Linked DNA regions of Yarrowia lipolytica. The protein of the gene in region 1 interacts with the protein of each later gene in a pairwise test. Links are inferred from orthologs where the notes say so. Each region holds a gene or a part of one and is shown in the gene's direction. Other genes may lie near its edges.

What was found. The genes of interacting proteins can lie anywhere in the genome.
Region 2: the proteins of YALI1_F28550g (region 1) and YALI1_B18260g interact in binary tests that used the Saccharomyces cerevisiae proteins (3 or more experiments, as listed by UniProt). The link is inferred for Yarrowia lipolytica from reciprocal best matches to the Saccharomyces cerevisiae genes RLF2 and MSI1.

The regions. Positions count from the first base shown.
Region 1 is NC_090775.1:2,853,378-2,857,290, forward strand, and holds YALI1_F28550g (uncharacterized protein), read left to right. Parts: upstream 1-1,720; coding exon 1,721-3,328; downstream 3,329-3,913. Other genes in the region: YALI1_F28537g (uncharacterized protein), read right to left, coding at 1-390.
Region 2 is NC_090771.1:1,824,236-1,827,950, reverse strand, and holds YALI1_B18260g (uncharacterized protein), read left to right. Parts: upstream 1-1,881; coding exon 1,882-3,111; downstream 3,112-3,715. Other genes in the region: YALI1_B18292g (uncharacterized protein), read left to right, coding at 1-167; YALI1_B18265g (uncharacterized protein), read right to left, coding at 553-645, 1,109-1,375; YALI1_B18236g (uncharacterized protein), read right to left, coding at 3,288-3,715. UniProt on the Saccharomyces cerevisiae protein: Acts as a component of the histone chaperone complex chromatin assembly factor 1 (CAF-1), which assembles histone octamers onto DNA during replication and repair.

The DNA.
Region 1 (3,913 bases):
AAAGGTGTAGTCCTGGGCGGTCATCGCGTTCATGAAGTTGGCAAGAGATCGGTTAAGCATCTTGAAGAAGGGATCTCGGACTTGGTACTTTTCCGATCCACACAACGTTGTATGCTCCAGAATATGGGGAACTCCGGTTCGATCGGGAGGATTAGTCTTGAAGCCGATGGAAAAGACGTTGTTGGAGTCATCTCGAGCAATGTGCAGATGCTGGGCTCCAGTGGAGTGCTCTAGCAGGGTAGCCTGCAGATCAAACTCGGGGATCTCTTTGGTTCTGAGAACATTGAAGCCATGGATATTGTCGCCGACAGAGAGAGTGGGTGCGGAGGTGGTGGCGAAACGTCGAACCACGGCCTGGACCGGTTTTTTGAGCGACTTTAGACGTAACATGGTGGTGGAAGAGAGTGTCGATGCAAGTCTCGATTTTAGATAAAAGAGTGAACAACTCTAAATGATTTATAATAGTTGGGGGAAGGTAGCGACGAGGCGGTGGTCACATTACAGGAAAACAAATATGGATTGATACCATGTACCATGAGTGATCACGTGCCATGAGTGATCACGTGGACAGTTTTCGTAGTCAGGATTTCCGTCTGTGGGTTTCTGGAGAGTTGTTAGAGCGTCAATAACCGACATCTTCCTCGATGCGGGGAATAGGGTAAGGGAGAAACCCGTGAGGTGGCAAGACGAAGATTAGTAATATTTATAATGAGTGGAGGACTGATCACGTGATAGGATTCTACGATCGTGTGGCTAACTTATGCTTGATGGGCTCGTGGCGGTCGAGAATGATTTCTTATCTGTCTTTTGAACACTCCTGGTGATGCATAATTAGGTTGCAAAGGTCTGGAATACTGATGGAAGAAATCGATTTCAGTGTCGCTGCTAAGACGAGGAGGGGACTTACAGAGAGAAGAATAACAGCATTAAAAATAAGGGTGCCTGTAGCTTTCGATCTATATAAATAATGTACTACAATCTCATTACGTTGCTTACCGTAAACTGCGATTATTTCCGTAGGTGCTGTGTTGAGGTTTTCAGTGGCGACTCGCCAGATTGTCAAAACAGGCTATTCGAGTCACAACAGAAGACGTAGGCTAGCTACTGTATTTAAAACAAGCATCCTAATGAAAGTACTTGTACTCACCTTGTAGGTTGCGGCTCCCAGCAACCAACAACCACAATTATTTACATGATCTGACAATTCAGTCAAATGTTGGAATCAGCATACTCCCGTGAAAATGTGGACCTTGCATTTCCAGGGCCTGGACTGTTTCGGTGGGTGTTTGGATCGCAGTCTCGCCACCAGACGTTTCTTTCCACCACCTTCGTAGACCTGATCGACTGTTTATAGCGAGAAACAGTGGGTTCTGTTTGTGGTGTGTAATTGTGGAGGTCAGGTTGGCGTCGGAGTTGGGACTATTAATAGGTTCAGGTTATGACAAGTATTTTTAGCGACTCGCACAGCATGTACACTATGAATAAGAGAGATGCACAGAGTCAGTGAGAGATTAGAGATAGTTGAACAGACACGTGACGAAAAATATCTCGTGACCTATTAGTTGCAATTGAATTATATTTGGTAACGTGACACGCTCACGACTTCCGCGTTCAACTAATTACCACTTCTGGACGCGTCTCCCAAATCATTTCAATTAAGCTCTTGGGTACGCGTCGTGAAGGCTGGGCCTTGTAACCTCCTTCTTTCCTCCACAACACCATGGACAGCTCTCCAATTCGACTCATGAGCGCAAGTGAGCAGAATGCAGGATGTGACAAGCCTGTAATGGCCGACAACAAGCCTCTGTGCACGATTACCACGCCCGAACCGTCACCCAAGCGTCGAAAGATCTCTGCCGAGGAGAAAGAAAAGATGCGACTTGAAAAGGAACAGATCAAGAAGCAGAAAGAGGAAGAGCGAGAGCAGCTTCGAAGACAGAAGGAAGAAGAGAAAGAGCTACTGAGAAAGCAGAAAGAGGAGGAGAAGGAACAACTGAGGAAACAGAAGGAGGAGGAGAAGAGGGGGCTAAAGAGGAGGAAGAAAGGGAAAGAGGAGGAGAAACGACGACGAGAAGAGGAACGAAAGAAGGCTGCCGAAGAGAAGGAGCTTGAGCGAGCCAAGATTGCAGAGGAGAAGGCTAAGTTGGCTGAAGAGAAGGAGGCCAAGAGACTTGAAAAAGAAGCTGAACTCAAGAAGAAGGAGCAAGAACAGACTCGAATCATGTCTTTCTTTAACAAGAAGACCAAAAAGAAGACCAAGAAGGAAGCTGTTAACAGTGACAAGTGTTTGGACTTTGATAAAGACTTCCTACCCTTCCACATCAAAGATACCGTGTGTATGGCAGACAAGACGGAGTGTGAAGTGATGGATCAGGATCCTGTTGACTGGCTCAACAGTCTCAACCTTTCTGATGACAGCAACACCGCCGAAGCAGAAGAACCACCTGTTCCCGTCAAAACCATCATTACTCACATCCAGACCGCTGCCACTCTGGGTCTCAATCCTGATAATTACAACGGTACTCCTTTAGACACGCTGGTCAATGCTCTTCCTAGACGATACTTGCAGTTCTATGGTGACGAGCGACCCGCATACCTGGGCACGTACTCCAAGAGCTGCTCGCGTGATCTGTTGCAGAACCCTCTCTTCCAGGTGCCTGGTTTGGACTACGAGTACGACAGTGAGGCCGACTGGGAAGATGAAGGAGAAGATATTGAAGATGATGAAATTAGTGGAGACGAGGAGATGGAGGACGACGAAATGGCCGACTTTGTGTGTTCTGATGATGCCAAGAGTCCCAGCACCATGACTTCAAAGGTCACGACAGCCCAGGAACCTGTTGTTGTCTGGGGCTGCTCAGATATGGTTGGTATGACTTTTGGAGGACTGATTGTCCAGGGGGCAATTGACCCATTCAAAGACTATTGGACTGTTGCAAAAGTTGAGCAGAAGACCGATACTAAGAGTGACGTGACAATGACTAGTGCGACATCAGCTTCTGGTACAGCTATTAAATCTACTACAACCAAAACCGAACTCAGCCCGTTTGCAGTCCTCTCCAAAACTCTGTCACCTTCCCCAGCGGTTGCTTCAGCCACGAAACAGTTTCTGGCTGCTGCCAAGCCTCAGAAGCTCATTGCTGGAGACGATCTGACTGCTCTTTTGAAGCGAGTAGATGGATCCGACGATAACAAGACGCTGTTGACCGAGCTGCTTTGTAAGCAGTATCCCCAGTACACACGCAAGATGGTCACGGCCACCATTCAGCACTATGCTGAGCGACAGGGTCCTAAGAGCGACAAGCGGTGGGTTCTGAAGGATATCTAGGCCGGGGAATGATGAGTTCTGCTGGAGTACACATGACGCAGTAGATAATGAATTAACGATGAACTGATGATTCAATAATGAAACAACTGTGTGAGAACGATGGCCGAGGCCTATACTCGTAAAGTAGTACTTTTGTGCTTGATTCCACCGCCGCACTTAAAGGGACGTCAGAAGTAAAATTGGTACAGTACACTGAAATACGGTCACGTGACTCGATCCCACCTCTCGCCTCTCGGGTAACGTATAGCCGATCCATCCTCATCCTCATCCTTTTCTATGTGTAGCTGCATTGCACCTCCATTTCAATGTCGTACTTATACCAGGTATTTGGGGTTGACATCCTTGTACAGTATTTAGGCTCAGTGCAAAATGGACCGTGAACCCAGTTTCGATCGCTCTTTCGACAGGCTCTGGTCTACAAACTCTTACTGTACATCGGGCAAATCAAAGAAGACAGAGATACCCGATTGGCAGATCGACACAAGTATGGTTTGGCCGGAATAAGCAAAGGCGCAAAGTGTAATCAAGATTTGAAAATTGCTCATCGTGGAAAAAGAAACGGGGTGGGGGACATTTAATTGGTAG
Region 2 (3,715 bases), on another chromosome or scaffold:
TTCCTGGTCTCAAGCTGCGAGTCACTGCTGAGGAAGAGATGCTCGGAACTGATGTCAAGGATCTGTCAGAGAAGGTCGAAAACATGGAGGACTCTCTCTGGGGCAACTCCCCATCCATGAGCCGAGAGCCCACCGTCGCCAAGCGGGACGCTGAGCCCATGGTCTAAACCGCAAATCAGAATTAATATTGTGTACTGTTAACAAAACCGGATGAAATGTAGAGAGATGTAGTCGTCACTGTATACTGTACATACTGTAAACACAGTAACAATCCTAAGCCTCTTTAGCACCTTGTGCCATGCAGCCATCAGTACGCCTTTGGTGTGGGTATGACATGCCCAGGTATCTCTCCTGTGTCGTAGAAGTGCTGGTACCTGTTGTAGTTTCATGATTGACACGAAATGAGGTTGGAGGGAGATCACTTTCAAAGCCAGTGGGGACATTCTCGTGGTCGTCCCAATGCTTTCCATCAAGCCTTAATAGCCGGGACACTACAGAACCCTTCGTCCCTATCCAGTCATAATATATTTGTAAAATGCATCAATCTATCGGTTAAGACTGCAGTAACAGTCGTCGTTGCCCGTCGGGCTGCGTTTCGTCTTCGTGAACCTCCTCCACTCCGGGGGCCACTCGTTTTCGTCGCACCTGAGTTAGGATGTGTGTGGTGGCATCAAGATGTCGCAATGAGGGTGTGAGCACTTCATGTGAGACCAGGCCCAGTTCATATCTGTGGCCAGTAAGTTGGCGATACCGACGAATTCACTAGATAAGCGACTGTAGGAAGTATTCGGGCGGTCCAGGTGCAAGCATGGACGAGGTGTCTTACTCTCCTCACTTTTATGTGGTCCATATTTCAGCCTTGCTGCTGCGACTCTCTCAGATAGCCATGCCGTGCCTGATCCTCGTGTAAGAGGCTCACATTATGGTCATTCAGAAGCCAGAGCAACACCAGAGAAAAAAGAACCAAGTTCTCGTCACATCAAGCAATAGCAACGACGTCACGTCGGCAAGAAAAATGAAGTGTATCTCAAACGACCACAGCCGTTCAATGCAATCGCCACTGTTCACAGCATCACATTCTTCTCATCAGCCTGTTCATTATACTCACTCTAGCACCGCTCATGCCCCATGCAAAGCCGATTTCATGGGCTACGAGCTCTCCAAAGCCCATCATCATGCCGTTGATGAAGGGCAGGACCAGATTGATGCAACATCGGCCTAGAAAACGGCCAATAGCAGGCATTGAAAAGGTTATGCGCGGCCCAGGGGCGTACTGTTCGCCTTCCTCTGTCAGCTGCTCGTCCGACTCCTCCTCCACCAGCTCGGGTATATCTTGTGTAGAAAATGGCTCTTCGTTCGGGTCCATTTCGGTCATGTTGGGGATGTTGTGGTCTACAAGTAGTAAATTAAGTTGCAAGTGGTGAAGTGCGTCACTGGGGTTCGTGCGTGCGTACGACACTGATGGTTGACCGGAAGACGATAGAAAAATTGGATAATTTAGGGGAAAATTACAGAGCGGCTGGAGTATTCATTGTGGTTTTTGAATATTTTTGATAAATGTACCTGCAAGTATAAATACTCTGTAATGACAATAATATACTCTCTAATCATTATTGAAGAAAGCAGCACAGCACTGATACCAGAAAAGAACAGTCAAAAGAAAAATGAAATCAAATTAAAAAGAATTAATGGAACAATAATATCGTAATTACAATTATCCTAATTTTACCCCATTTATTTCGTATGTCGGACTGACCTCATTCACGACCCCACTGTACCTCTTATTAAGCTCCTGAGAGACGCGTCCATTTCACGCATATTTCATTTGACTAAAACTGATTCACAACTGGAAACATATCGCACAATACACACGACACAGCAATGGACACAGAAGCTAGGGAACTGCCACAGACTTGCGAGGACGACGTGACGCCCAAACTGTCGCCCGAACAGCTGCTCTCGTACGAGAACTATCGAATTTGGAAGAAAAACGCCCCCCAGCTATACTCGTTGTTCATGTCACAGATGCTTCCGAGCCCAGCATTGTCATTCCAGTGGTTCCCCGATCTCGACACGCCCAAGAATGCCTCTGTCACGGCCCACCGGTTCCTCACGTCGAGCTATACAGACACCCCGGAGGTTATTCGACTTGGAGAAGTTAAGATCCCCAAAAACGACGAGACGCTCAGCCTGCAGGACTACTCTGCGCTGACGGAGGAGATTGGCGGCTACCAGGGTCATCCACACGCAGGAATAAATGTGTCACAAAACATATCTGTGCTCGGAGAAGTCAACAGAGTCAGATACATGCCCCAGAACCCAAACATCATCGCTACGATAGGAGCAGATGGATCCGTGCTCATGTTCGACAAGTCCAAGCATCCAGCCAACCCATCCAACGACGAATGCAAGGCTGATGCGACTCTGTGTCATCACAATTCTGAGGGCTGGAGCCTGTCTTGGAACACAAAAGATCGAGGGAAGCTGCTAACATGCTCTTCAGACGGAACTGTGGCACTGTGGGATCTGGTTAACGACTACAAGAGCCGCTCTGATGGCAAGATGGTGACTATTGCTCCCAAACAAGTCTTCATACATCATCAGGGCTCTGTCAACGACGTCACTTGGCATCCTTCTGAAAAGACTCTATTTGCAAGTGTTGGAGACGATCAGAAGTTGTATGTGATCGATACAACTGACAACAGCACAGTTTATGAGACAGACACGAGAACCGCATCTTTATCTGTCGCCTTCAGCCCGTTTAACAATCGGGTGGTCGCGACGTCTGGAGAGGACGGCATCGTCAACTTGTGGGACATCAAATCCACTTCACAGACCCCTATTGGCCGACTGGTAGGTCACGAGGGGCCTGTGGGCTCGTTGGATTGGTCCCCGCATAATCCTCGACTGCTGGTGTCTGGATCTGAAGATAAACGGGCCATCATCTGGGACATTTCCAAGATAGGTCAGAAAGACGGCTCGGAAAAGCTGTTTGTGCACGCTGGACACACGGAGAAGGTGACCGAGGTGGGATGGAATCGCAGTCTGGAGGGTGTGATTGGAAGTGTTGCATTTAATTCCTTGTTGCATGTTTGGAAGGTGAAAGATTAGTAAGGTGTTGCTGTCGATGAGAGATGAGACGATGATGACATTAATTTATTCTGTATCATGAAACTACAAGGATTATGAAACGTAGCAGAAAAGAAATACATGATACAAGTACCTGTAGACCTACATTCAATATGGATCACTCAATTAAATAATTTATCATACAATCTATAATGCAATTACCACTCGACACGTTCTTCGTCATTGTGGCTCGAGTTGAGGTCTTCCTCCTTCATGTTTGACAGCTTCTTCTTGTGCAGGTTTGCTTTCATGGGCACTCGTCCAAACATGAAGCCGGGGTGGAAGATGGCCAGTAGGTATGTTGCTAGCACCATCATCAGACCGTCGAGCACCAGCATATACACCTCGTTGATGACCAGCCGTCCGTGCCATCCTCCGGCTAGTTCGATGATTCGGTAGATGGAACGGGTGTAGATGAGAATAATAGCAATCGTCTGGCCTACAATGAAGATAGGTAACTTCTTGCCCTTCTTGAGCTCCTCGATATCAGGTCTATGAGCCTGACTATCAAGTACCTCTGGGTTTCTTCTGCCCGTGTAAACTCGGAAAAGGAATTCAAAGTAGAAGAGGAAGAAGATTGACATGA